Caenorhabditis elegans: one gene and its partner. The protein of the gene in region 1 purifies or fractionates together with the protein of each later gene. This does not show direct contact. Each region holds a gene or a part of one and is shown on either strand. Other genes may lie near its edges. The genes, in order: K07F5.8 and mpz-6.

The links.
Region 2: the proteins of K07F5.8 (region 1) and mpz-6 fractionate together in Caenorhabditis elegans (co-fractionation; one large-scale study listed by BioGRID). This does not show direct contact.

The regions. Positions count from the first base shown.
Region 1 is NC_003282.8:9,846,915-9,862,011, forward strand, and holds K07F5.8 (Protein-tyrosine phosphatase), read right to left. Parts: upstream 2,811-15,097; 5' UTR 2,742-2,810; intron 2,693-2,741; 5' UTR 2,662-2,692; coding exon 2,422-2,661; intron 2,375-2,421; coding exon 2,222-2,374; intron 2,175-2,221; coding exon 1,999-2,174; intron 1,956-1,998; coding exon 1,799-1,955; intron 1,753-1,798; coding exon 1,624-1,752; 3' UTR 1,571-1,623; downstream 1-1,570. Other genes in the region: K07F5.7 (Major sperm protein), read right to left, coding at 810-860, 908-1,261; ssp-10 (Sperm-specific class P protein 10), read right to left, coding at 3,788-4,117; ssq-1 (Sperm-Specific family, class Q), read left to right, coding at 5,675-5,939, 5,991-6,494, 6,541-6,644; K07F5.12 (Transmembrane protein 144 homolog), read left to right, coding at 9,104-9,230, 9,279-9,475, 10,252-10,523, 10,570-10,820, 10,864-11,072; npp-1 (Nucleoporin Nup54 alpha-helical domain-containing protein), read left to right, coding at 11,578-11,675, 11,724-11,827, 11,908-12,012, 12,684-12,953, 13,192-13,373, 13,430-13,609, 13,660-14,053, 14,148-14,326 and 2 more.
Region 2 is NC_003280.10:9,398,415-9,414,160, forward strand, and holds mpz-6 (PDZ domain-containing protein), read right to left. Parts: upstream 8,707-15,746; 5' UTR 8,664-8,706; intron 8,563-8,663; coding exon 8,464-8,562; intron 8,204-8,463; coding exon 8,123-8,203; intron 8,066-8,122; coding exon 7,871-8,065; intron 7,828-7,870; coding exon 7,693-7,827; intron 7,645-7,692; coding exon 7,444-7,644; intron 7,372-7,443; coding exon 7,186-7,371; 3' UTR 7,120-7,185; downstream 1-7,119. Other genes in the region: Y51B9A.8 (ShKT domain-containing protein), read left to right, coding at 452-539, 589-702, 923-1,114, 1,158-1,183; Y51B9A.7 (Small integral membrane protein 8), read left to right, coding at 1,645-1,790, 1,844-1,932, 1,983-2,083; Y51B9A.6 (Major facilitator superfamily (MFS) profile domain-containing protein), read right to left, coding at 2,410-2,539, 2,582-2,727, 2,790-2,890, 2,936-3,107, 3,158-3,334, 3,379-3,551, 3,610-4,118, 4,581-4,723; Y51B9A.5 (Ovule protein), read left to right, coding at 5,798-5,860, 6,068-6,277; arrd-2 (Arrestin C-terminal-like domain-containing protein), read left to right, coding at 9,440-9,661, 9,711-9,986, 10,039-10,545; M176.9 (Tyrosine-protein kinase), read right to left, coding at 10,929-11,292, 11,338-11,514, 11,558-12,114, 12,162-12,482, 12,723-12,825, 12,870-12,932, 12,985-13,031; arrd-3 (Arrestin C-terminal-like domain-containing protein), read left to right, coding at 14,151-14,326, 14,381-14,495, 14,570-14,636, 14,837-14,940, 15,329-15,730.

The DNA of each region.
Region 1 (15,097 bases):
TTAAGTTTTGAGGTTGACGAAACTTTCTAATCTACTTTAGCAACTTGAGTTTCATCTTAACATTAAGCCTTGGCCAACTGCAAAAAGCCAGAGTTCCCGTATGATCGGGAGCCAGGAATGCCGCTCAATTACATGGTGAAATAAATTAGTTGACACATATGACTGAGTTTTTTGAATCACTTAAATGAAGATTATATAAATGTTGATGGTGTCATTTTGAATTTCAATGAATATGTGAATTTCATGATATTTTTTTCCAAAATTGTTAGCACATTCTGGAAATTACAAGTTCTGGATTGAATCCTCTTTTTTAATTACAAATTAGCCTATTAGTCATTTATCCAAACTCCCTGGTGACAACAAATAAGAGGTAAAAAAATTTTAAAAAACTTTCAGAATAGTATTGGCATATGGAAATCTTGTTTCTATTATTTTTGAATTGATAATAGGTACATAAGTAAGGGAGATACCTTGCCCTGAAAACAGATTTTGCGACCTGGGCACCAGGGACCAAGACAAGTTGCCTAGTTTTAGCTCTCGACAATTTCGCCAATTTTTGGAAATCGACAACTTTCAAAGGCCAATATCACTATTGATTATCTTTTGTTCAGAAACTCATTCAGAAAGCCTGAAAGAGGTAAACACCTCGTCATAAATAAAAGGTGAACTTTTCTGGAAATAAATGCAGTAAATTTTGCCAGATTTCTATTAAAAAAGTTAGCTGAAATTCATCAATGTAAAAGTTATAAAAACACCTTTTATTCCAATACTAGAATCAGATTCACTACATAAAACTTCTATTCCATCACTCATTCTTCTACAACCTCTCTTGACATCTGACGTCCTCCCGATGCTCCTGCCTGAAAAATAAATTTAAATGAAAATAAAAACCTGGAAGGTAACTGACCATCAACTTGATCTTCAGGTGTGGAATCTTGGTTCCAGCACTGTCCGCTGCCTTGAATGCAGCTTTCGGATCCTGCACGTCTTTCTCGATTTCTAGGTATTGAACAATTGCCTTGTCTTTTTGAATTGGACCAGGCATCCGATTGATTGTCAATTGGCGGCATTTGTTGGGCTCAATGATCATGTGAGTTGGCTCAACACGAAATAGTGCATTGCCACATCGAACTTTGATAGCCATGCGTTTTGAGGTAAAGTTGACCACCATATGCTCCGATTTTCCGCCAGCATTTGGGAATTTGGCTTCCTGGAATGACAAACCGTATTGGCAAAGTAAGAATGCCAATTTGTAATGCATATTCTCTCGTAGTACTATTAGAATACTATTACATGATTATTTAACGTTTTATGTGACTTTGTCAGGAATCATGAAAAAACTATCAATACAACGTTGTAATTAATGAGGTTTTTGCGACAAGAAAAAGATGTGTGGGCGGCTTGGATATCAATCAGGTGAAGTTGGATGGCTCTTCTTGAGAAAACGTGTCCTGACAAAAAAATATCAAATATTTCTTGATTTGCTTGCTATCTTTGAGATAATTTTAAATCATGTACTGTGATAAATTGTTCTTTATTGTGTTCAACGACAGTGAAAACAAAAATCCTTTTTTGATGACAAAAGTTTATTCGAGAATTTTCTAGAGATGAAAAGGAAAAGTTCTATAGGACGCATTTACTGTATTGATCGGTGAAATCCTTGTGAATGGCAGAAGTGGCCTCATCGAGAAGTCCACGCTTTTCAAAGAAATTCATCATAACTTGATGGACGAAGAGGTATTGATGATCGGTCTGAAAATTGATGTTTTATTCCGAAAAAGCAAGAAATTTGTTTTACCTGAACCGAATTGTTACGCTGTTCACGAATTTTCTGAATAATCTTGTCAGTGTCTTCGATAATCTGTCCAGCTAGCAATTGATCCATCACGTACTCGAGCATCACCACGGAGCCAGTACGCCCAATGCCTGCCGAGCAGTGCACAGCAATCGGTCCTCTAAAAAAGGAAATAATGCTGAAAGGTCACAAACTATTCTCACTTCGACACTCTGGCTTTTTCCAACAGTTCGAGAATTGCATTGTCAGCAGTCGGAACTCCTCGATCAGGCCAATCTATCCAGTGGTAATGATTAACCTTAAGTTTATCACAACCAGCTCCCTCAACTGTCAGCACGGTCTTCGTAACCTTCGCGGCACTGTTGTCCCGAAATTTGATCTGAAACATGTTTGTATGCATGCACAAACAATTTCTTCAACACAAACCGCTTTTGACGATTCGAATTTGACGGTGACTTTCTGTCCTTTTTCTTTGAATGACATAGTGTCCTTGTTGTCCTCGGTTGGAAGATATTCGTGACACTTCTTTGCTCCTTTCTCCTTATAGTTGCACAACATGAAGATTGTCTCGACGCGATCCTAAAAGTTCAACTGTTAGTACTTCCAAAAAAAAAAAAATTTCAAACCTGCAGGCACATGAACCAGAAATCGGCACAAGTCTTCTCAAGGGGAGCTTGGGTGCAGATGAAACGTTTCGGGTTAGTTGGAGTAGATACATAGTTCGCATGAATATATTCATGCGGCCATGCTCCACCCAACTTCACCCGATTGTTGTCCAAGCATCCTACGTCCTTGTAGCGGTTCTTTCCATGCTCCTGGGCATCTTTGAATGCTTTCATCTTTGAGAAGTCATTGAAGCGCTTCATAGTTGCAAATTCTGCCCTCGTTTTTTGTCTTCTGTAACTTTCTCGAATAAAGCTAAAAGAAATATAAAATCTAAACTCACTTTTAGTCGACGACATTTCTCCGGCTTTCCTTTTTGCAAACTACTCGTTTTTCGGAAATTTTTAAAAGTAATTGATTTTTTGAAACAAACTGATCCAACATTATGATTGATCAGATAAGAGCTACGTAGAAGTTCAAAAGTGGAAAAGGCATTTCGGTTCACGGGAAAATTAAAAATGTCATTTTTGCTAATCGTCGGAATTTAATTTAATTAAAAGTACGGGGCTTCAAAACAATTAGTAGGGAAAATCCATACTAACACATCTCGACAAGTAAAACTACAGCTAAAAAATATGTTTCTTGTATTAAACTGTACAACATTAAAAATAAAACTGTAAAAAACTTCAGGAAAAAGTCAATTTGACTGAAAAGTACTGTAAAGTACAACAAAAAGTTTTCACAACTTTTTTGGAAGTCAGTGATAAAAAAAACTAAATGTTCCTTCTAGGTTTATGTTTTTAATATGTTCAAAATATTTTTATTTTATCATTGTAGTGGTGTGAACATGCGACAGTGCTTTAGATTTCTCAAAGTGGTGTAAACTCAGCTTTCACCAGTTAAAAAAATTATTATAATTTTGATAATTTCCCAATATGCCGTGCTCCATTAAATATTTAGAACTGAACACTTGTAATAATGGGATGATAAAACATGAATAATATTTAATTAAAGATAAAATAAAAAAATAAGCCTATAAGTTAATAAGCCTAAAGAAAAATTGGAATAATTAAGAATCTCTAATTTGGAAGAATTTCAGTTTCTCTTGTCAATTTGTGAAATCTAACTGGTGATATTGAGAGTATGGTCGGTGTGGTGAGGAACTAGTAGGACTTCGATTGAGACTTGTTTTACTGAAAAAAATTCAATTAATGGTTCACCAAATTATGGATAACTCTTTTAATCTTCCGTTCAAAGAACACAAGCCATTGTCGCGGTTTTCTGGGAGTCTATTAAAAGGTCTTATTTGATAGTAATTGAAAAAAAAAACGACCTCATCAAAAATATTTCATTTTCATCTTTACCCAAACGTTACAAAAAGTGCTCTTTTTAGGCGGTGGCCGACATTGGAATGGTGACAGTTCCAGCAGGAGTGACTGCAGCAAAAGCGGCTTGAGCATCAGTAGCATCGGCTGGAGCTGGTGCAAAATGAATGACAAGCTTATCCTCTTTTGGAGCACCAGCAGTGCGGGTGATCACAACATCCTTTGATCCGGATGGATCGACAAATCCGAAAACTGGAGCAATGCGGTATTCGTTATTGTTGGATGACTTGATCTTGAAGATGATCTTCTCAGCTCCACCATTGACGAGCTTGTGAGTCGAGGATCCTCCAGCGGCTGGTACGGTACAAGCTGGTGGATCGGCAGTCAGAGACATGTTGTAGCTTCGGCTGTTGGTTGTTTGGTACTGAAGACTGATTTGATTACCGTTTTCGCCAAATATTTATACCTTCTCCTATCAAGATGCTCTATTAACCTTGTCACGCGTAAAATTACTTGAAATTTTAATTATTAATTTGTTTAAAAACTAATAGTGTTTTGAGGTATAGCTCCTAAAAAGTACCGGTGCCATTTAGAAAAATAATTTTATTTTCTGAAAAAAAACATTTTTCATCGAAAATTTTAAAAAGCTGCTGTATTTATTACGATTGAAATCGTGATCAAAAATAAATAGTAAAAAGACACGAATGAGTTAAAGACAACAAATCATTGGAAAATTGATAATAATCATACAAATATTGATAATAAGCATGCAGAAAATGAATTATCCTCTGAACAGTTAATTAGATAGAGAATGAAACTGTCAATGTGCGGGTGTCAGGGAGATGAATGATGGGTAACATGAAAGTAATAGACTTAAAAGTATAAACATTCATAGAACATGAGATGCCAATATAAAATTCATTTCGCTATTTTTTATAGAACTTAATACTCTATTCGTGAAAAAATGTATACGTATTTTGATTTTGCATTTCCCCCAGATGAACTTGGTTTTGGTTCGAGTTTTACTTTTTTGTGTAATTAAAAAAATGATCTATGTCAATGTCAACTTTGTTTAGTAGAATTTTCGACAAGAAAACATTATCAATAGTTTTACGCCGAGCTTCTAAAATTGACAGGTTGAATAGCGCTTTTATAGTCAGGGTCATCTGTTCTTGTGTACTTTCCCTTTTGTCTGCTGTACAGTTTCCTAGAGAACGAGTTCTGTACGGATTCACTTACTTTTATATTTAGTTTTTTTCATATTTTTTCAAATAAATAAATAAACTGTAATAAAAAAATTAACATGTGTCGAGGAGACACGACCACCATGTGGCTTCACCATGATCTAGGTTCACATATTTAATCATCTTTTATTTAATCTTTACCACATCATATACCGTATTTCCTCTATTAGTAAGGCGCCTCTATTAGTTTTGCATCAAATTAGGTGTCCGAAAATTAGTTTTGCATGCCTTACTAATAGAGGAAATACGGTATTCCACTTTTCCTATATACTCATTTCATATTTATGGGACTTGAGGAACTGTCATATGTAATGGATGTGCAAGGATCATAAGGAATTGTAACAACAGAAAGTCTTTGGAGCAGGCTTTTACACATATTCCTTTAAAATCCCGAAAATCCAATTTCCTCAACGATCGTAATAAATTATTATTATTTATATTTTGTGTCTACGTGCGTGAAAGTGAAAACTGAAAACTGAAAAATATTTAAAATAATTTATTTTCTACTCAAATATCTAAAAGCACGTGAAAACTGATATTTCAAAAATCGAGTAATAAAATTTAAATTCATTAAAAATTTTGAATTTCTCACGCGTTGCTCTACTGCCCTAAAATAACTGATAAGATCTGAACTATTTGGTATAAAGTTTCGCGAAATCGTCAGTTTTAATCATATTCGAACTTTTCTTCGAACCGTGAGATCAGCCATGACATCTGCCTATTTCGGAGTTGCCGGCGGGAGTAATACTGGTGCACAATCGGCTTACTTTGGAGTTGGAGGAGGACCAGCAGGAGGAGGCGGTGGAGCCTCGAAGGTTGGAGGTGCCGGTGCACCACCCCCAGGAACATCAGTGTACATGGGAGCTGGAGCCGGAGGAGGTGGCGGTGGCGGAGCCCAGTCAGCTTACTTCGCTGTTGGAGGAGCACCAGTCGGAGGTGCCCCAGCTGCCGTTCCTATGGGAGCCCCACCACGTAATTCTTTTTGTTGTAGTCTCAGTTTGGAGTGATATTGTATTTTTTTAGCAGCTGGTGGAGGTGCCTCGACAATGACTGCTCTTGGCGGAGCACCATCTGGCGCATCTACTATGACAGCTGTCGGAGGAGCCCCGAGAGGAGCTTCCACGATGACTGCCGTCGGAGGAGCTCCAACTGGTGCTTCCACCATGACCGCTGTGGGAGGAGCTCCGCGAGGAGCTTCAACCATGACCGCTGTCGGTGGGGCGCCAACTGGAGCTTCTACGATGACAGCTGTTGGAGGAGCCCCAGGTGAAGCTTCCACCATGACCGCTGTTGGCGGAGCCCCACGTGGAGCATCTACAATGACTGCTGTTGGAGCCCCAGGCGGTGGAGCTTCTGCTCTTGGAGCCGCGCCACCAGCCGGATCAATGAGCGGAGGAGGCGGTGGTGGTGGAGCCACTTCTGGATACTTCGGAGTCGGACAAGGCGTTATGGGAGGTGGTGGAGCTGTTGGACAATCTGCCTACTTCGGAGTTGGAGGAGGTGCTGCTGGAGGTGCCAAGTCTGGAGGTAAATTTAAGAGGGTAACTATCAAGTATTAATAAATTGAATTCAGGCGGTGGTGGAGGTGGAATTCCCGGACAATCTATGTACATGGGAGCCGGAGGTGGCGGCGGAGCTGGAGGTGGTGCCACATCTGCATACTTTGCACCCAAGTAAGAAGGAGAGAATTTGTTGAACTTTTATAGTCAATAAACAGTAAAAAATACGTTTTTTGTTTTTATGTTTTCATGTGTTTTGAAGTTACAAGTCGTATTCAACAGAATACAATACTGCAGCGGAGTCATTATTCAATGTTCTATTTCTTCGAACAGTAACTTCATTCCAAAAGTTGAGATTCAAGTGAATTCGTAGTGAATTCGTAGAGATTCGTAGTAGTAGTTCTGAGAATAGGTATTGAAATTTGGGAAAGAAAAACGACAACTAATCTCAGTTCATTCGCATTTAATTTTTGGCATTCGAAATCGAATTTAGAAAAGGTTTTGGTTTGGGTGATACGCTTCAATGTTCCCGAATGGTGTAGAATCTGATCCATTCTACAAGAAAAGAGTTTTTGTCTACAATAACAAAAATTTAGAGCAAAAATATAAAAGAATGGCATTTCCAAGGATGTAACTGTTCAAAGAGATAATCCTGTCGAAACCAATGGAAAAGCGAATCCGTACTCTGAGCATCCACGTAGCATGCAAATACTCATTTTGACATCAGTGAGGCGTCCAGTCCCACATGTTGTTGCCAATGTTTACTGAAAACGCCTTCTTGAAATTAATGTTTTAAATCTTTTGATTAAATTCTCACAATTGACGCTTCAGGCAATGCCAATAATTTTGAAAGTGGAAGATGAGAGCCATCTGAACATTTTAAAAAATTCAATTCTTTCAATTTCCCCAATATTCAAACACGCTAAAGTCTAAATAACAAATAACCTACTTGTTTCCCATTTATCAATATATTTAATGCAATTTTCCTAAATCTAAAACTTCCATTAGCTCGATTAAAATTGAAATTAATTAAATGGAAAATAATCAGATTCATTGTTGAACTAAAAAAGATCTAATATGCTTTAGATCCTTCTCCGTTTTTACTTTATTTTTGTTATCAATTGATAGAATTCGTTTAATAAAGTGGTTTAACGCAAATTTCATCAAATCATTGTATTTTTGTCTACCCACATATATTTGATTTGTTTACACACCATTTTCCCCCCATTATACCATACATTATTCATTCAATCCAAATTGTGGGAAACTTCATTTCCCTTCCTATAATACGATATTGAACATGATTTTTGGGATGCTCTAGTTTCTTAACTGTCTATCTCGGCGACATAATTTTTCACTCTCTGTTAATACCAGAATATTTATTTTGGAAATTATGATCTAACCTCAAAAATTTCGAATCCAATATACGCCATTAAACAACGTACACAGATCAAGTTTTCGTAATCATTTTTCTAATAATGAGGAAGTTGTGAGGATAAGGAACTTATATTTAGCTATCTCTATACACACATTTTCTTGTTACATGATATCTGAAAAGTGGAGTATTAGATTAAAAACCTTATTTTGAGTGTATATCACAAAATGAATTTCACAATAATCAGAGATGATCAAATTGTAGTTTTTTCATAGGCAATTCGTTTGGGCAACAGTTTTTTTTTCAATATCTCTTCGACAAATAAACTGATGAACTTCTCATTATTTTCATTTTCAACTCATTTGAAAAGGTGTGAAAATGGCGTTCAACTGATTAGAAAGTTGACAAAAGTGATAAGAACGCGTGTATCGCTAAACTAAATATAACGACCCGACAATTGGTCACTTTTGTCATTCTTTTGTCTTTGAACTGACAACACGACAAAACTTTTTGTTTGTTTAGCTGCTTCTAGAATTGAACTTTAACGGTTTTTTACAGTTTAGAGATATTAAATAATTTGACCTTTTCTATTTACAATTAGTAAAACAATTATTGCGTTGGAAGATATTCGAGATTTCAATTAGTTTCGTGATTTAAAAATATGAATTTCATTTCAAGTTAATTTGATTTTTGGTTAGATGGAGGCGTCTCAAAGGATTATTGACATAAATTGAAAATTCACAACGTTAGTTTTATTGATTAAATTTCTAAACTTTGGAAGTTTACCAAATAAACAATTTCGATAGAAAAGGAAATGTTTCGTTTTGAATTTCGTTGTTTAATTTTGACCTGGGAGGGTATAAAGTACTTTTTGTTCATTTTATTTGAAAGTTCTAATGAAACCAGAGAACTGAAAGGAAATTTCATGAAAAACATTGAATAGTTCCAAAAACTTTTTTGATCTACCTACCACGCTCTAATAATAAAACTATTGTATCTCTACGTCTCTACTTCTTCACTTTTCTTCCTTCCTCGTTTCCCTCATTTTATTCTCATTTCCTTGTAGTTTTATAGTAAAAAAGACTGTAGAACTACTAATAATACTAGTTATTATTAGTACAATTCTTTCTCTTTCTCAGATTTTATTGCAAAATAATTGTAGTGTACAATCAACTAGGTTGTTAGATTCAACAATTTGTTTGAAATTCTACAATTCAAACATTTGTAATTATCATGTGTAACGCAAAAACTTTTAGGTAACAATGAGCTCTACCGTAGCTCCTACGGTAGATACTTCACTTCAAATCGTCGGATACGTGGCACTTCTTCTTTCTTGCTGCGCTTTTGGAACAATGTTTGTTCCATTGAGAAGAAGAAATTGTAAGGATGGTGAGTATATTTTGGATTATAGAAACTTTTTTAAGTCGAAATTTTCAGGATTTTTTGTCCAGTGGATTGAATGTGGAGTTGTATTCATTGTCGGTTGCATCTTCTACGCAGCACGTGGATTTCCAAAATTCGAGCCAATTGCGTGTATTGGAGGATTTCTTTATGCAACTGGAAATGTATTCAGTGTGCCAATTGTTGAAGGAATTGGGATGGGAGTTGGATTCTTGATTTGGACTAGTCTTCAGGTTTTTATTTCATTTTATAACTTGTCGCAGGGGCTGGAACTTTTGAAAACCAAAAAAAAGTGTTGGAACAAAAAATATCGGAGGAAAAATTATGAAAACCGCCATAGACGTAGAATTCAACCCACGATAGAATTTTTCTGCGACAGAATTACAGTTGATTTCAAGAAAACCAAAAAATGTTGAAAAAAAAGAGACCCGAAGAACTCGGGGGATGTCCAACTGGGGGGATTACCAACTCGGGGGATTGGCCCCGCCCACAGAACCGTGGCTTGCAATACGCCCATTTTTGCAACTGAATTTTTGCAACTAAAATTATTTTTTCTTGTTAATTCTCGCTCTATTGAGAAAAATACAGTTTTAAAACCGTGCGGCAGTTGCAGAAATGGGCGTATTGCAAGCCACGGTTCTGTGGGCGGGGCCAATCCCCCGAGTTGGTAATCCCCCCAGTTGGACATCCCACGAGTTCTTCGGGTCTCAAAAAAAAGGTTTTTCAAAATAATTTTAATCTAAAATTATTTCTTGAATACTTATTTGTGGCATGAATTTCAATTGAATACTATCAGAGGTTTTGGAAATGTGATACAATTTTTTTGGTTTTCAAAATTTCCAGCAATTGCGCCCATACCGTCTACCTCGTTATTTTCGGAATTTTGGCGGGAAGACGCAGATTGCCTCAAAATGCAGGCAGGCGTTTTGTGTCTACGCGGAAAGCTTACTCTGAAACATACTGAAACTACTACTACTACTCTGAAACTACTCTGAAACTCTTCTTTAAGATTATTGTCGGATGGGGAGTGGCAAGATTCGGGCTGTTCCAATGGATTGCCCCGCAGAATGTGAAAAATGATGTGTTGAACTATATTGGAATTGCATTGACAATCGTGAGTGGAGTTCTTTTGATATTCGTGAAACACGTGGAAACGGAGCCAGAAAATGAATATGATGTGACCAGCAAGGAAATGGAACATCAAGAAGAGATTGAGCAAAGACTCAGCAATTCAGAAAGAGATTCTTCATTTGATATGGCTGGTTTGGCAAAGAAATTACCGTTCGTTGGGCATGCTTAGAAATTTAAAAAAAAAACGAATTTTCAGTTATATCCTTATGGCAATGGTTCTTGCGTGTCTACATGGTTTGATGATGTCACCGATTGAATATTTGAAGCAACAGAATCCACCAACTGATAGTTTCCAAGTGTTTGACTATATTTTCCCATTCTACACATCAGTATTCCTCTTCTCTACACTGTATTTCTTCGCGTATTGTGTAATTTTGCGTCGAAAAGCCTACGTGGAAAGGAATTTGATAATTCCATCGATTGGGTACGGTATTTTATGGACTACAGGTAAGAGATGCGTGGTCGATTGTTCAAATGTTTAGTTCTTCAGGAATGACACTTTGGTTTGTCTCCAGTGATAAATTATCTCAAGTTGTTGCCTATCCATGTACCGCCCGTCTTCCACCGTTAATTAGTGGAGCTCTTGATGTATTTGTATTCAAGAGTATTCAAGGAACCCGATCATATGCTACGTTGGCAATTTCTTCTGTTATTGGTGTCATTTCGGTGATTATGATTGCTTTGTCTAATCAGATTTAATTAGAACAGAACCGAACGATTTATTGATCTCATCTCAAAATGTTGTATTATATTTGAAATAAAGTATTATTCGTATCGTTTAAACGATCGTTTGGTTTAAAAAAAAAATTTTTCAACAAAACAACTGGAAATCTAAAGAAGTTACTATTGATATCTTTTATATCGAAATTCAATTTAAGAATTCTTGATTAAAATGAGTTATCAAATTTTCGCAAAATACGAAGTAACTGAATACCTGAAACATGCATTTCTTTTCACGGTTGAATGTTCTTCGGAATATGTATTCTTTCATCTTCGAGGAGGGTGCCAGCAAACGCGCCCCTTCGTACACAGACAAAATTCGAAAAAATTTGCACGCCAAAGCGTCCCCAAAAATCGATTTAATTCGGCTCATTGTCTTATTTATATTATTATTTTCATTCTAGAATTCTCGCATTAACTACATATGTGTTCTTTTTCTTCTCACAAGCCCCATTTCTCTTAAAAATCGTTTGTTTTCAGCGAAATGTCACTTTTCGGGTCATCTACTCCCCAAAAACAGGCATTTACGTTTCCAACGCCGAATGCTCCAACAACATCGTCTGGAACTTTGTTTGGAAGCACGTTAGTATTTTAAGAAGTATTATTTTTATACAAAAATATTATTTTCAGAACGCCATCAAAGCCTCTGTTCGGTTCAACTGCTCAGGCTTCATCAACGCCTTCGCTTTTTGGAACAACAAATACCTCTACTCCTTCTGGAGGATTGTTTGGAAGTAAGTTTGATATTTTTACTTTTACACAACTTACTTCGTAATCAAAGTTGCATTTTAAACCGAAATATATTAAATTTCAGAGACAGGCACTTCAACTACTACCACTTCAACTGCTGGAACTTTGTTTGGTGCTGCTCCAACCACTTCAACAGCTACTCCAAGTCTTTTCGGTGCTTCTACAACCGGTAAGCTACTCAAAATTATCGATATTTTCGGTCACTTCTACTTAGTTTATACTATTAGCTGTTGTGTGGTCTCGTTGAGAGAAAAGCTAGACAATGATAAGGAGGGGAAATCGATAAATCATATTGATCGAAGTAATACATTTTGGACCAAAAAATTATATTCTAAATTCCAGCAACAAATGAATGAAAAAAGAAAATAGACTCAATATATTTTTTGATCTGACAAATTATTTGACCTACCAAGGTTCTACTTCTGTGATTTGCGCTTAATTTTTATTCAAAATTGTTATTTCTCTCCTATCGCTCTACTTCTCTCGTCGTCATTGTGTTCGTTACCTTCACTTTTCTCTGTCGTGGTCGGTGTCGTGCGGATTTCTTTGCCTGTTCTTCTATCACCCGTGTTGCTCTTTGCTACTCGTTTTCTTCGTCTCGAGCGTCTGCAGAAATGTTTGCCCGACGTGGGGGCATCACCGGAATCAAAGCAGAAGACATGCCGAAGAATCTTCCAAATCTTCCCGATTTACCTACGACATCAGCATCTCAAGCTCCAGCCCCAGCAACCCAGAATGTTAGTTCACCAGCCCGTCGCAATTTGTTTGGAGCACCCAATGACGCTAACCGCACGCTTTTCACAAATTCTCCGGCATCTGGAACCACTTCTGGAACTTCAGGACTCTTCGGAACATCATCAACGACATCTGGAGGTCTCGGCGGTATTGGATCCACACAACAAACTGCCAAATCACCCGTTGCCACAAGATTGGCAGCATTCAAATCAGGAACTTTGGGGGCTGGTAGTCTTTCTGGTAATACTCCAACATCTTTTGCCACACCATCTGCGTTACCAGGAACTAATGCCCCACAGTCATCTTTTCTATCACCGGCAAACAACTTGAATGTGGCTCCAGCAGCTTATCGTCCTCCCTACTCAACATTTGGAGGTTGGTATTCATCAACTTTGTATTAGCTTTTCATATTTCTAGAATTGAGTAGACTTGGTGGGTCAGATCAAAAACCGAATAAAAAAAAAAAAAACTAAACCTAATATTAAATCTTAAAAATAATTAATTTAGATATGTCTAATTAGCTTTAAAACATTGCTTCAAGTATTTTATCGTGAATCTGGAATATAATTGTCTAATTAACGAACTTTGATAATTTTGATGGCTCAATTTTCAGGATCGACCCCATTCGGAGCAGCGTCGACTGGAACAGCCGCGGGATCAACGCTTTTTGGATCGAGTACTGCAAAGCCAGCTACAGGCGGATTTTTTGGTTCCAGCTCAGGGTCTACTCTTGGTGGTCTTGGAGCAACTCAACAACAACAACAGCCTGTTGTTCAGCAGCAACAAGTTATTCAGGTAATTAAATGAATCTTAAGAATATCTGAGCGCTTTTCCAAATAAAATTTTTTCAGCAGTATCACCCATTTGTGAAAGCTGTCGGAGATCCAAAGCTCTTTGGAAATGATAATGATGGAGTTGTTGCTAAGTTGAATCAAGTTGCTGCCGGTTTGGGTGTCGGAAAAGCTCCATACAAAGATGGAAATCAGCTTCTATCGTTTTCAATGGAAGGAAACTTGTTTGAACGATTTGTTGTAAGTTTATTTTATAAATCACTGAAAACTTGCACAGTGTCACGTTTCAGGGAATCGGATACAATCGTATTTCGGAGCGAACCGACGATGAGGGATTTGTAACTTTGGTGCTGCGTCATCCTATTACAAACTTGAACACAGAAGAACGCCGTGACAAAATTCTTGAAATTATCAAAGCTATTCTTGGTGGCGGACCAAATGTAGAAGTTCGATATGCTCCTGGTACTTCGATGAGAACACTTTCTGATGGATGCACAGAAATCTGTATTATCGCCAAAGAAGGCGGATTTGTTGCAGGAGCTATTAAACTTGCTCAAATCCTCAATGATGCTCCAAAAATGACCCAATTAGAATCGCAGTTGCAAGTGGATAAAACAAGGGTTCTTCCTAAAGTTGGAATGTCGAAAGCACAAAGAGATAGATATTTGGAGACAGTTCCTGATGGTTAGTTTACTCGTTATTTTTACTATGTTTATCATTTATTAACAAAGATTTTCGTTTTCCTCCCTCGCATTGTATCAAATTTCATTCATTTCAGGAATCGATGAGCGTATTTGGAGACAAGCAATCAAAGAAAACCCAGCTCCAAACAAACTTCTTCCTGTTCCAGTACGTGGATGGGAAGCATTAAGAGACAGACAGAAGGCTCAAGTTGGCGAGTCGAAACTATTCCACGAGGCAATTAATGCATTGGGAAATCGTGTTGAAGAAGCTAATGTAAGTTGTTATAACTTGATGAAAGTTTACAAATGTCATACATATTTCAGCATGAACATGCAGATGCAGTTGTTAAGATGGAGATTATTCGTAATCGCCATAAAACTCTCTCGTACAGAATTGTTCGTGTTATGCTTGCACAATGGATTGTATCAAGATATTCACGTCAAATTGACACTGATGAGGATGTAATTGAAGCTAAAGCTGATACACTTCTTGCCCAAATGAATCGTCATAATCAAGTGAAGGTGAGAAAAAATTATGATTTAATTTTGTATAAAACAATTAATTTCAGTTTTATGTCGACAAATTCTACGAGATTTTGGAATCAAAACCGGATAAACTTCAAGAATCAATGTGGAAAATGTTTGATATGACAATTGAAGATGAACACTATGCTCGTAGAGTGCTTACCAAATTTGTTAATATTTGCTCTGGCCTTTACGAGTCAACACATCAACAAATCGAAAGTCTTGAAGCTTGTAGAAGGGCTCTAGAAGGATAATTTATTTTTTAGAAAAGATTTTCTGAAAATCTTTTTTTCAGATTTTCTCGTATTAATTTAAAAATTCGCTCATTTCTTTTGTATCATCATTATTTTCTTTCAAACTCTGACAGGTTTCTGGTTATTTCTGTTTCGACCTAAGATGTGTGGCAGAAAATTGTTTTTAAAACTTATACATATTGAGCAAAAAAGCTCGCTTTTTTCTATGTTCGCCTGTCATCACGAGTACATTTTTTCATAAAATATGCCTCATTCTTGGTTGTAAC
Region 2 (15,746 bases), on another chromosome or scaffold:
ACAGCATCAGAAAAATTCGGGCTCCAATATTTTTCAGTCAGAGCATGTTTGTCCGATTGTTTCAATAGTACAGCATTCTGAAAACTTATTTTTCAGTTTTTAGTACACAGTTGTTAAACGTCGAGTTAAGAAAAAAGTGCAGTGTTATCCAATAGCAGTTTATGCCATTTTCCACGTACTTGGTTTGCCGAACTAAAAACTTGCTTGCAGGAATTGACGCACTTTTCTGTTGTTTTGCAGTAGATTGAAACTAACATACTGAATGAGTTATAAAGTACAACCTTTCTTATTTGAGTGCATTTTCCCCAAAAGACAGAAAACAAGTAGGTACATTCTATGATAAACTGTGTCATAATGTTGCATAACTGTAGTTCTAGACTAATCACCATATTAAAACTGCTATAAAAACCGTGAAGAATGCCCCACTTGTCATTTCATTTTTGAGGAGAAAATGATCAAGCACCTAACTATTTTCTTTATTCTCGCAGCTTCCACAAGCGCCCAACAAGTGGTTTCTTGTCGAGTTTCTTTTACTGGACGTGAGTTTAAGCTCGAGATAATGGGTGTTCCAGTATTATAACTTTTCAGCGGCTTTTGGAGGAGTTTGTCCAGCAGGAAATACTGAAGTCTCTAGTGGAGACTGTTGTCCAACTGCTCAGGTTGTTAATGGAACAATCACCTGTAACGGAGGGCTTGTAGGACGTAAGTTTTAAATATATCTGTGGACTTTAGTTAAAGTAACTCAGCAAAAGTTATGCCGATTTTCTCTTCTTGTCTTGCAGTTCTACAGGTCAAATGATCCGGAAAAATGAATGTTTCATAAAGTCTAGTAGTGAAAAAAAGTAGAGAAAACTCATTGAAACACCAATAACAAACATGAATCACAATAAAAAGCTTATGCATTAATGCATCATTAATTCAGCATCAATTGGCGGTTTGTGCCCGGCAGGATCCAGTCTGACTACTGCTCGTGATTGCTGCAACAATGCGAATATTGTGATCACCACTCCATGTGTCGACGTGTATCCAAGATGCGCACACTATCAAAAATGTTGTGCCAATCCACAATTCGAGGCAAAAATGAGAGCAAACTGCGCGCTTACTTGCAAATTCTGTAAGCTTTTCTTGTACGTAAGAGGTTATAACAATACTTTCAGGCACTCCAACACCTAACAATGGATAACTGAGATGATTTTTTCAATGAATTAACTGTACTTTATAGTGGGAATAAACAATGTTTTAGTTTTATACATTAGAATTTTGAGTTTGCCGGGGGAACATTTGTTACTCCATAAATCGAACCTGATCTTTCAGTTACCGAAAATCTCAAGGAAAGATCACACCCATGGAGTCCGAAAAGATCAGATTCTCCGAGACTCGAGAACCTCTGGTATTTCATAGACATTTATTATAACTTATAATCTACCATTGGTTGATTCTGAGTTATGAAATATCTGATGATTTGATTTTGCCTGGGAAGATCAGATTCAACTTTTGAAATTTGAAAAAGTAGGATTTTTGTTCTGAAAGTCCTGATTCCAACTATCATATATTTGAGAATAGCTTTATTTATTTTCACGTGACATAACTGATCATCACTCCAAAGTAAAATTCTCATTTATTTCCAATTATTTCAACTTGGCAATGACTGTACAACCGCAAGCAGAAGCATCGGGTGTACCTCTCGAACATGAAGAACAACCAAAAAATCAAAAGCAAAGAAAGGCGGAAAAATATTTGCTGCGATGGTACAACGCTTTGAGAAACTTACCGACTTGGGTTCAGAAAACGTAGGATTCTTGTTCATATTTTACTTCAAAAACACTTTTGCATTTTTTTAAAGAAAAAAACGAAGAATTGGAGCTTATAATGTGTTGGTGGTGATTTTATGCATAATAGTTATTGTGTTAAGCATAATTGTTTTGTATCAAGGTATGGTTTTGTTTTACTGTGGTTTGGTGAAATGTATTATTGAATTTCAGATCCTGAACAGACGCATGACAAGTATGGAGGATCAATTCTTCTCCGTGAAGTCAATCCATATGATGAAATGGATAAACTTTTCAAGAATGCAAATAAGTGAAAGTTTCTAAAATGTACCTTTATTATAATTTTTTGTTAGTGTAAAATCAACGTATAAAAAATTCCAATTTAAAGATCAGAACTTATATATTTTTGCCTACTCTTATAAAACTTCACATTATTTTTATCAATGGTAAAAATCTGAGAAAATACTTTTTGGAATTTTTCAAGATTCGAAGATTTTTTTTCTAGACAAGAATTATAAAACAAAATTTATTCAAGATAAAAATATATAATAAAAAGTATAGGAAACTACATGCAAGAAATGAGATTTTGAATTGAGATTGTGTACTTGTATAAAAAAAAACTCCAACAGAGCAAGATTACTTAAATTCTAGGAGATGCTCCAACTTCTGAATCCACAGGCATCACTTCTGTATTTTTGGGTTCTGAACCCATAACAGCTTCTGCCAAAGTTAAGTCTCCTTTCTGTTGAGCCCATTTTGCAGGTTCAGCTCTGTAAAAGTTACTTTTTTCATCAACAGTTTAAGTTTCTTACCTGGCGAAAACAATGAAAATAGTATTTGTAATTGCAAGCACTGCTCCGTAAATCATAAAAACTCTTTGCCATTCGCTGAAGCTATCGGATGGGGTCAGAGCTGGGACCAAGAAGCTTCCAGCCATTAGGGATGAGCAGGCAATTATCTAAATTGAAAAATTGAATTCATACATTTTTAATTAAAAAAAAAAAGGTTTTCACTGCTAACCTGCACAATAGACATAACAAATGGAGAGTATTGTCCGGAAACCATAACAGCACACTTGCTGTATCCGCCGGAAGAAAACCCTAGGAGAGCCATAGGAATTGCTGGAAATTAAAAGTTAAAACAGCAATAAATCTATTGAAGCTTACAAAGCAGTATGACATCCAATACTTTGCTTCCTCCTGGACTGGAACATGAAAGAATAATGAAGAAAATTGAAGAGCCAAGGAGAGCGCACGAGTTGAACATTTTCATTTTTGTGAGGTCAGAGATGGACTTGATGCGATCCGAAAAGAATCCAGTGCTGAATTTTATGACGAGCTGAAAGATTTTTTTTCAAATAACGGAGAATTAGATCCAAAAATATTTACCAAACAAGCCATTGGAATAAGTGTCAAAAGTCCAGCTTCAGTGGGCGTGCAGCCGATAACACCGCGCAAATAGATTGGAGCATAGGAAATTGAAAATTGGGATACCAAAAAGTTTCCAATAACTGCAATCCAAACACCCCAGATAACGATAGAGGAAACAATTTTGCGGATTGGAGTCTGCATTTTTATTTATTTGAAAACATTAATGTGAAATCTCTAACCTCATTAGATCCTTTTCCAGTTTGATCAAGTTTCTTTCCAAAACTTATTTTTCTCCATTCCTTTCTCTGCACGAACGGATGCTTCACCGCACGATCTCTGTAGTAGACAGCCCAAAGAATGGTGAGAGCTCCTAGAATTGCTCCATGCAAATAGAACACCCATGGCCAACCAGCTGAAAATTTTTAATTGGAATTTAAGACTAACAGACTTTGTTTCTTAAAACTGCTCACCACTCGTTGCAAGAGCTCCAGAGACTGGCATTGTGAACACTGCTCCCATTTCTACGTGAGCCGATAGTACAGAAATGAACAATCCTTTTTCATTTACAGCTGCCCATTCATTAACAACAACTCCGGCTGTAGTGAACAAATTAGCCAGAGTGATTCCTTGAAGAACACGTAAAATCACAAAAACTGGAAAACTCCAAGTGATAACAATCGGCGTTATAACAACAAGAAATGTGCCAAGAATTCCACTCAAAGTCATCACTTTGTGAACTCCAAATCTAGCTGTAAGCCTCGACATCGGAACTACTGCGGCGATGGCTCCAAGGAATCCCGCAGCGAATCCCAAACTTTTTTGAGTTGTGTCGAATGCGAAGCGACGTTGGGAAAGTGGAAGATCAGGATCATTCCAGTTGATTTCATCCAATGATTTGTTGGAATTTACAAAATCCTCCCAGTAGGGAGACGATTGCGGATTCACCATGGAGACATAACACGCATTGTAGCAGATTATTCTGAAATTTTGAATTTTTGAAAAATTGTCTGGTGAAAACTAGGTGTTTAGAACATTACCGTTCAAGCTATTCAAAAAATCTAGGTTTGATAGTGAGTCAAATGCGACTTTTTCTGTTGAAAAACTGACCGAGAATTGGAAAAATCGGATAACAAGCCCCGCCCAAAACTTGGTTCTTTGCGTTTTTTCATCGAATTTCTTATTCATGGTTATCAAAACTTCTCGTAGGTTTCGGATATAGTGTTGAAAATCTAGATCCAAAACAAGTACTTCAGATTAAAAAAAGATCATTCAGTTTTCAAATTAATTTGTTTTCTCAAATATGCTCCGCCTATACATATTTTGGTGGCTTGTCGTTATTCATTGCATTAGTTAAAAAAAAGTTACACCTTTCCAGTAACTGAAATGTGAAAAAATATTTACACAAATGTTCAAAAGCCGGAAATTTAATGAAAAAACTCACGAAGAAAGTAAAAATGACAAGAAAAAAAGCCCAATGACAAGAATGATGTACCGATTTGCACCGCGACATCCATATCTTCCCTCTTCTTTATCAACTTGATCACAAATCGTTCCAGACGAGGTTGTTTCAGATGATGCTGACATTGTGATATGATAGCAACTATATAAGCAAAATCAAATTGTTAAAAAGTTATTAGTGGAGGTCTTTCCGAATAGTTTTATATACTATTGCTTATGCAAATTCGGGTGTCCTCTCAGTTTTTGTCATGATTCGGTACAGAACCACATGAGGAAGGTTGTAGCAGAGGTGTGAACTGTGAACTATGTACATACACAATCAGCTCAATTCTAGCAGTGTAACTCTGATTTTTTTGAACTCGAGAATAAGCGTAGCATGAGTGTTGTAGTCAAAAAAAAACAATTGTAATATTTGTCCATGCTCTCTGATTCCGTGCCGAGTCTGAAATATTTTAAACAGTCGACACTCACAAATGATATACCGTATTTCCTCTATTAGTAAAGTGCCTCTATTAGTTTTGCACCTCTATTAGTTTTGCATCAAATTAGGTGTCCGAAAATTAGATTTGCATGCCTTACTAATAGAAGAAATACGGTTTGTCTCTACTTTTTGATTAAATGTAGGTGTATTGTTATTTTCCGGTTAATACCTGTTCTCAAGAAGTGCTCGGCATTTGGCTCTAGCTTCTTGCCCAAGTTTAGCCCAAAAAATATTAACTTGGATCAGAAGCTGTCTAAACTTGGGCAAAAGTTAGGCAAGACTTTGGCAAAACTTGGATTCAAGCCTTACCAAAGTCTAACCCAAGTTTCACCCAACTCTTGCCAAACTTTGGCCCAAGTTTGAAACGAAATAAGAAAAGTTCGGGCCAAAGTTTGGCAAAAGTTGGGTGAAACTTGGGTTAGAGTTTGGTAAAGCTTGAATCCAAGTTTTGCCAAAGTCTTGCCTAACTTTTGCCCATAATATTTTTTGGGCTAACTTAGGCAAGAAGCTAGAGCCAAATGCCGAGTGAGCCACATTCTAAAAAATATTATTTTTATTCGTAGGACACTCGAACAAAGTGAAAAAGCTTTGCGTGACCTTGGAAATATTGATTTCATATATACCACGTGGCGATTCGTTTGATAGACGGCTTCAAGCAGTTGCAAATTATTTTCCAACAATAGTTTTGCGAAAAAATCCTCGCATCGAAACAAGTAAAAATGGAAAACAAGTCACCAATGAAAGGGAGCGAAGCAGAAAATGCCAAAGATCAGTTGAAGAAGGTTAGTTTATGGAATATTTTGTAGTTTATTAATTATGCAATACTGTAAACTCTGTATCTTGAGGAATGAAAACTGCGCATTTTGACTTAATAAGTTTGAAGTGGTTAGTACTCCACGTTGTGGCCGTGGCGACGCTAGTTCGATTCCAGCAGCAGGCAACGTTTTGCACTTTCCGAAAAGTAACTTTTTAATATACAAACTTATCAGAAAACTGCTGAAGAATTCGCTCAAATGGCTATCATCAATCGTGCTTTTTCTGCTGAGTCAACTGAAGACCCACCACCACTGGCTCAGAAACGGTCCGAATCGACTTTAAAACCATTGAATGATGAATTGAAGTCGGTGCCACTGGTTAGAGCTTTCAATTCTGCTGAAAATCAACTGGATCCAAAGAATCAGAACGCTGCAAAGAAGTGAACAGTTATCAATGGGATACTTGATTTTTGAAAGTAATAAATTAGTAAAGTTAAATGTATTGCTCTCAATTTCAATAAACTTATCAATCAGTTCTGATACCCGACACAATTTTAGAGAACTCGTTTCTTGGGTTGTTTAGAAATATTTTACTCTCTGGCTTCACAGAATAATTTACTCTCCGGCTTCACAGTATATTTTACTCTCTGGCTTCACAGTATATTTTACTCTCTGGCTTCACAGAATAATTTACTCTCTGGCTTCACAGTAAATTTTACTCTCTGGCTTCACAGTATATTTTACTCTCTGGCTTCACAGAATAATTTACTCTCTGGCTTCACAGTATATTTTACTCATGGCTTCACAGAATAATTTACTCTCTGGCTTCACAGTATTTTACTCTCTGGCTTCACAGTATATTTTACTCTCTGGCTTCACAGAATAATTTACTCTCTGGCTTCACAGTATATTTTACTCTCTGGCTTCACAGAATAATTTACTCTCTGGCTTCACAGTATATTTTACTCTCTGGCTTCACAGAATAATTTACTCTCTGGCTTCATAGTATATTTTACTCTCTGGCTTCACAGTATATTTTACTCTCTGGCTTCACAGTACATTTTACTCTCTGGCTTCACAGAATAATTTACTCTCTGGCTTCACAGTATATTTTACTCTCTGGCTTCACAGTATATTTTACTCTCTGGCTTCACAGTATATTTTACTGTCATGTACATTTTCAGCCGTATCTTTAAGTGTGTATTATCAAATGAAAATGACAATTTATTGGCAAAATAGGTAGATTTTCAAAACTTTAAAAATTCATAAATCACTTCAAAGTAACTTTTTTCGAACAAATTTATTCCGAATATCTTCCTCAAGTTAAGATCCCAGACGTTTTGGAGTCATTTTCAGGGGCTTCGGAGACGGAATGTATGGGATACGAACTTCTGGGGCAGGCTCCGATGGCAAGGTGGCTGGAACTGGAGTTGGAGCTGGTGCAACGGCTGATTTGATAATACATGGAGGATTCGTGCACGGTTTCTTGTAGAAATCTTGTTTGTCTTCATAATTTCCAAAACATCAGAAGGAAGAAGCTGCAAAGAAGAAAATGAAAACATGTTTCTATATTTAAGTGAAGTGATAAAAGAAAATGGGTTTAAACTGACCACATCAAACTGCTTGTTGGCTTTTCCTTGGGGTGGTTTTGGAGGTGGAAGCATCACTGAATTTCCAGCTTTCTTCACTCCAACAGCAGTACTCTGTGCACCATCGGGAGGCAGTGGAGCAGGGCCGAGTGGATCAGTATTTGTGGATCTTTCCAATGTAAGACGTACCGTTTTTGTGTTGTTGACACTCGCATAGAGAAGCTGAAAGAGCGATAATAGTAGCCATTTGTGTTTCGGAAGATATCATACTTTTCTAGCAGAGTCACGATCAAGAACATAAATGTCATTAACTTTGACAAGAATATCTCCACCTTTGACATAGTGACACGCATTGGAAGCCGACTGAACCATTGAAATAGTTACAGTTTTTGGATCAACTGCCATCTGGAAACCATCTTTAAAAGTTTCAAGTGTCCCGATTACTGACTCTATGAATAATAATCCCTGTTGCAGCACCTCCACGATAAGTGAAAGTCAACTCAACCATCTGAGTATTTGGACGACGAGGTGGCAATGGTTTTTCAGTGACAAGGCAATGATCATCTCGCATGAACTCAATTGTCACTTTTCCAGGAAGTTTTGCACTGATTGCACGGATAAAGTCAGCAGTTGTCTTTATGTTCTGAACATTTGGATTAGTTGAAACGGAAGCGGAAACGGATCTTAAAATATTCCTTACGGTTTCTCCATTGACGTTCAAAATCTCATCACCAGCAAATAGAACACCCATCAATTGGCTACTCACGTCCACATATATGATCTCAAATGTGATTATTCAAGATCTCTTCGATTTTTGAATTGAAAATGAGTTTTTTAATAGCCCAAACTTCGTATTTATGAAAAATTAAGGAATTTTCGAATGTTAAACACATCAGGAATGCCGACAAAATTGTGCTCGTTTCAGCTCTTAGCGCGAGCCCTACGTTGAATACATTATTCAAAAAGAAATGTATTTCCATCTCAATAAATTATTTCAGAAACATTTCCCAACAAACAAAAACGAAATGAGCCCTCATTTACCTTCCCATTGACCACATCACATGCTACAACCACATTCTTCCGTTCGAATTGTACTTCTTCTTTTCCTTTTACATGAAAACTATTGTTGTTGGTTGTCATCTGTAAGAAGTTCATGTCAATGCAGTCCGCTTCTCTAGTAACTGGTAGAGTCACTATGCCCTCATTGTCAGACCCAACGCGCAATCTGAATGTTAACTTACTCCGAATGGATTGTTGCGGATACGAAAGAGCTATCGATAAGAAAATATTTAGAACTGAGTCAGTTTTTGTTTTCACTTTTTATTTTTCTGTAATTTTTTTCTGAATAAAACAAGTACAAACGATGTCACGTTGTTATATTAATTAAATTGATAAATTATTTATTATCAAAATATTATCAAATTTCGATGAGATCAATGGAATAGAACAATTCAATCATCGTTGTCTTCTGCTTTTGTCACTTTCTTTTGACCTCCTCTTACAAACTTTGAAAGTCTTGAACGAATTGTATTCAGATCTTTGCTGTATGTTGGGGCGCTGAAACCAATAAAAATTCGTTTATTTTCTCTTTATTTGAGCATTTCACCTATGAGCTGTACCTTCGGACTTTGTGCCACTATCAGATTCTTCAGTTTCAAATTGTAGGTGGGATATCAAGAAGACGTTGGAAACTTGATGGCATTGTTGGCATTTTGCTCTTTTATGCAGATCTTTTTGAAAATTGGAGATAAAAATCTGAAAATACGTTTTTCCATAACAAACACGACTTTTACACCGACACTGTTCTTCGTTGGTGCAGAAAAATTACAATATCGATTTGGAATTCTCATAAAAGAGCAGGTGGCAATCTACCACCTTTCTATATTGTCACATCACCTCCACACTCTCCGAGCAAGATGGGAAACTCCGCCCACAAACGCTGAAAGTTGATTACAACGACGTAGAATCTGTCTCATTCAGTCAGTCTTTTATTATCTCGATCTCTCCCTTTTGAATTATGTCTGTGAACATTGTTTTCTCCAATCCTTCCAAAACATACCTGCCTGGCGACTATGTCTCTGGAAAAGTGTTGCTCACAACAAAAGATCCAATTTCTGCACGATATATGGAAATCACGTGGAAAGGAGAATCAAAGTGTAATTTTGGAGGATCGGAGAGCTCAAATGTCCAACGCCATCTTGCCGGAACATTTATGGGATGGATTGCCAAAGATGGAGTTGTGAGTTTTTAATACTTAATAAATATATTTTCAAAATATTCCCATTCAGGACACAATCCCCGCTGGAACTCTCAAATCACGTTTCCGATTCCGACTTCCAGAAAATTCTCCGCCAAGTTTTTGCGGAATGTTTGGAGAAATTGAGTATTCTGTTACTGTGGAATTTGATCGTCCGTGGAGACTCAAGTTAAAAATGATGAATACATTCCGTGTGGTTCAGAAGACAAATCTGACACTTTCTGAGCCAAAAATGATGAAGTACGCGGAATTTGTCAAGTCGAAGAATTCTGGAACGATTTTCAAAGATGGATTGTTTTTGTTGAAGGTATTGTTCAATTTCAAAAGTAGAGTCAAAAAATTCACTCATTATATTTTAGCTTCACTTTTCCAAACGAGCATTCCTCGCAGGGGAGACAATCCGAGCACTTGCCATCATGGAGAATCATTCAACAAAACCAATCATTAATCTTCGTTTCGAGCTCATTCAACAATCCCATTACCACTCTCGCCCACAGAAATCATTGTGTTCTCTTAACGATTGTCACTCCGACTGCCCAATTGAATCCAAATATCGAAGAGATGGTGAAACAGTGCTCCGCGGAGCCAATTACAGTTGTGACGTCGCACCTGGTGAGGTGAAATATATCAATGTGGAGATTGATCTGCCAAATGGACTCCCGCCAACTTTCGAATCTCCAATGATCTCAATGGGATACCTGTTGGGATTTACCCTAAGAAATGGATCACTGACCGGGAATCGATTAGCATGTAATGCACGGATTGTGGTTGGAAGTGAGGAGACAATCGATGAAATGGTAGATGAATGTGAGCCGACAAAGAAGAGCCAATGCCTTACTGCATCACCACCACCATATCACCCATAAATTAATCAATGATCATATTCATTTGAATGTTTTAAAATAAAGTTTTTTTTTGAAAAAAGTTGTGTAAAACGGAATGTAGACGGAACCATATAAAAATAATTCAAATATTTAATTCAGAAAGGAAATCTGTATAATTTTTTCAGGAATAGCATTAATTGAAAAATCAATTCACAGAGAAATATGAACAAAAATAAATAAAAAAAAAAAACTTATAATGCAACTTATTTTATTCGGAAATGTACCCCAAATGTCGCCCCAATGAGAAAAATATGATACCAGCAAAGCTCGAATCTTGGATTTTTATTAAGATGTTTGTCTATTTTTTTTTTGAAAAAAAGCATATGCTCAATTTTTATTCAAGTAGAAAGAATCATAAAAACAGTTCACTCCTCTTTTGGCACTTCCTTCTTCTTCTTCGTCCTCTTGCTTCTCTGACTTTTTCTGCTTCTATCACTATTGTTTTTGAAAACTGCCAGAAGCCTATTTTTCGCTTTTCCCATCTGTAATGTCCCATCTTCACACATTCGAGCAAATCGTTCAAATTCTGCAACTGCCAATGGTATTGTGGCTCGACGAGATTCTTCGACAAAAATACAACTGCTCATGTACTCTTTTACTTCGTCTGGAGTCATTGATGGCATTGGATAGAAATTGTTAGCCATGATATCAGCCTTGATAGTTGCATTCGAGACACCTTCAAATGGTTCAGCACCGTCGACGAAGACTTCGTAGCAAGTGACTCCCCAGCTGGAAAGAACACTTGTCTATACCTCAATAGTTGATAAAACTAACCTATAAACATCAGTTGCATATGAGAAGCTCAGAGTAGCCAAGGTTTCAGGCGCGAGCCACTTTATAGGAATCTTACAAGATGTCTTTGTTGTATAAGATGGTCCAGCTCTAGATAATCCAAAATCGGTGATCTTGACCTCGTTCTCGTGAAGAAGACAATTTCTGGCGGCGATGTCCCTGAAAAGTTTTCAATCGATTTTCCAACAAAAAACCTGCTCACCGATGGATACAATTGTTTTGATGCAAGTACGCAAGACCCTTTGCAGCTCCAAGACAAAAATTGATTCGATCCGCCAGGGGCACCGATTTCGTCTGCTTCATGTAATCTTGCAAGGATCCACCTTTGACCAACTCAAGTAGAATGTACAGTGGCTGCTCATCATGAGCAACTCCATATAGGCGTACGACGTTTTTATGATTGAAGTTTCTGATGAACCTTGCTTCATTCATCATCTCCTTAATCTTCATTTTGCTCAAAAATGCAGATGCTTTGGTCATCTTGATTGCTACTTCTGCTGAACTTCCATCTTTGAGCCTCAGTTCACCAGCGCACACTTTTCCGAATGCTCCTTCACCAAGGACATCTCCAACTGTCACATCCGAGTGCATGAATTCCCATGTTTGCTGAAGAATCGGGTGTTTCAGTTGAAAATTTCCAGAAGAGCAATGACCAGTGTGCTTTGTGTAGTAGTTGATGAGATCGGCTACAGTAGCGAATGGGCGTGCTGCTTCACAGAAAAACTTGTTGGATACACGTTTAATCACCACATTATGAATCTAAAAATATGGTTATTTGTTTCAAAACTTTACTTCACTCAACTTACCCTTTTCTCTTTTTGTTTTCCTTCCATATGGCCCGTCATCAGTGATAAAATGATCTCCCGAACGACTTTGCTTTCTCCTTCAACTACTTCCGACACACGAATCAAATAATCTCCTGGATTGTGCAACGTGGCTTGTAGATCTTCGCGTGGCAGAAACCCATGATAAAATTTGAATCCTCGAAGCGTTTTCTCCAAAACCGGAAAGTATTCCCTATCGGATGTCATTAGAGACTTTTCCTCGGGAGCTGTGCATTGTGGTTTTTTCTTTTTCCGTCTTGACGATTTTCCTCGAGCACTCTTTTCTGTTGGTTGAAGGGTTGCCTGCAATGAGCCTGCCATTGATAGAAGCAATGAGTCTGCAATGGTTAGAAACAATGACTATTTTCAGATTGTAAAAAGATGTTCCAATCTTGAGGTTCATCATATCCAATGAACTGTGGTCAGGATAAGGTCAGAAGAATTGAACTTTCTCAAGAATTTTTAACGTGACCTGTCGAAAAAGTAACTATGACAGTCCATTTTGAATTATAAACTCTCAAGATCATCTGAATTTGCAAGTACCTCTGGTCGTTCCCGATCTCTAGTCCCTCTTTTAGATCGTTCCAATTTGTCTCTCCTGGAGCCAGCTACCGGACCATCTGTGGTTGGGAGCATTGACGATCTCCTGAACAATTGACAGTTTCAAGCATTCTAACTTCATTTCCTTACCTGGATCTTCCAGAAGCCACAGCTGCTGGTATCATTTTGGAAGTTGACTTTGTCTTGTTTGGTCTGTAAGAATCAAAATTTTGATACTTTTCTTGTGAGCGATGAATCTACTCACTTTGAGTTAACGTACAATGCGAATGATCGAGCATCTTTACTTGCCATATTTTTTGTTTTGGTTCTGAAATATGCGATATTGATTTAACAAAATAAATCAGAAAACAATACCTCTTTTATTATGAATCAGTTTCAATAAGTAGAAACTGATATCTGTCGCGAAAAGTGAGAACGTATTGAGAAATGATTGAAAACTCATTGGAAATCAATGAATATACTGATGGTTTTTTTTGTTGGAAACGTGAACGTCTAAATGTTTTTCAAAATTAAATTTAAAATATTTTTAATGACCAAAAATATAGTTTAAATTTGGCTGCGGTGTTTCTAGCGTAACCCAACTGTATCCCTTCTACAAAGCTGATTACGACCTTTTAATAGCATAACTTGCTTCCACTTGAACGATTTAAAAATTATTTCAAACTCTGCTAAATATGCCACCCCATCCCTTCAACTATTAATTTGCATTTTTGCTGAAGTCTACACATTTTAAGCCCTGTATCTCTTATTTGGTAAATAGGCTGAGTAGCGACTCTCATCACGGTGGTGTGATACGTGAAAAACTGCGTGAAACGCTTGGGAATGGGACTACCAGGCTGAACCTTTTGGGCTTGATGAATTAAAACATATATACTCGCAAAATAAGAAAATAACAGAATTTGGCAGTTTTTGAATTAAAAATAATATTAATTTTAAACATTTTGTAAAATGAAACACTTGGTGAACTATTTACTCGATAAGTGACAAGCATAACTGATAATGCATAAAGTTCTCCTAGTCCTCTCTCACACACACACACTACTTTGAGTTTTTGTATTTCAGTTCTTTCATTTATATAATTTCAAATGATCTAAATGGTGTGTGATTCACGCAATTTCGCAATCGTATAAGCCACCTATCGATAAGAAATATAGAGCAAAATTATGGGTTTCCAGTATTTGAAACCCTCTGGAAACACGATAAGATTAGTCATTTACGTTTTATTCCCTAATTGCAAGCGGAGATGCTGATAAGACAATTACTATAAATGATCCAGGCGTGGTTTCCAGAAAACATATACTTCTTTGGCAGATTATATCTCGACACACTTGATTATAGTAGGATCTGATTTTTTTATTTGATAATCTCATTTACATTGATATTCAAATATGCACTTATTTGTAGAAAACAATGGAATGCTTCCGAATTGTACTGGACCGAGACACCTGCAAATATAGACCCGAAGAATGTGTTACAGGAAATGTGGTAATTATAAATCGAAAGGAGCTCAAAGCTCGAACATTACGAGTTTATATTAAAGGATATCAAAAAACTTCGTGGAAAGAGATTCAGCAAAAGCCAAGCTTGTAAGTTGATCGTCAATTCAATTTTTTCAAGATTCAAGTTTTTCTTGTTTTCAGAGTTGTTCGTAGTAATGGAGTTAATGTCAAATCCACGATTAAATTAAAATCACATGGAGAAAATATTCAATACATACATCTATACATGACATTATGGAATTTCACTTCTGACACGGTAAGATTTCATTTAGAACTGTTCATGTACTTTCTTTTGCCATTATTTTGTTTTGCAAAAAAAATTCATTTCAGGATTGCATAAAACCCGGAACACACAAATTCCCATTTTCTTTCAAATTACCAGCAGATTGTCCGCCAAGTATGTGTTTTTCAAAAATAAATTTAAAATATTTTTAATGACCAAAAATATAGTTTAAATTTGGCTGCGGTGTTTCTAGCGTAACCCAACTGTCATCAAACTCGACAGACCATGGAGTCTAATGGAGATTACCAAAAAATTGATTTTCGGTAGGACGGAATTTGAAAAAAAAACAATATTAATTTTTAATCTAATTTTAGTTGTACCGAATGCAACTTATATACCAAAAGACTTGCAACAAATCAATGGAGCTGTTTCGAAGAATATCGGTGTATTTTTCAAGAGTGGGATAGTAAGTGTAAAGGTACTGTTGTTTTATTTCTTTTTTAAAACTTGTTTCCCACCTCTCGATATTTACTATATATTAAACTATTAATATATTAAATTAGTAATATATTAAATTGAACTAAATTAAAATATTTCTCTATAGAGGTGGATTGTTGGCATTACCGAAAACGTTTAAATACCGATTTTTCTCCAAATTTGGCAATGATAGAAATGATCGAAAAAATTAAACCTTTAGCAAAAAGGCAAAAAAACAGCATGAAATTTCGATCCCGGGGAATAGAGCTACTTACAATTATTAATTGTTAATTGAGTTTTTTTTTTGTTTTTTTTTCATATAATATGGTCATTTAAAGACGTTAAAAGTAAAATCCCCGATTCCAAAATAAGACTATTCAACTTTACAGACTAGCTTCCCACAGCGGGTTTTAATCACGGGAGAAGTTATTCCACTAACTTTGCTGATCGACAATAAATCAACATGCACAGTTCGAGAAGTCGGAGTCCGGATTTTCAGAATTGCAAGATTTTATGCTAAAGACCAGGAGAAAATGACTCGGCAGAGGAAAATAATGATACGAAAGAGCATCAACGTGGAACCAAACACCGAACAACAAGAACTCATCGAATTTAAAGTTCACGAAACCGTACAAACTTTTGAAAGTGATCTTATCGAAGTGAAGTATTTAATGCATGTTGATGTATTTACTACATCTGCATTCAGAGGCACTTTAAATTCAGTTTTCTCAGTAATTATTGGAGCTTCGCCCACAATGACAGAAGAAATTAGCGATTGTTTACACTTTTAGAAGATTTTGTCCCGTT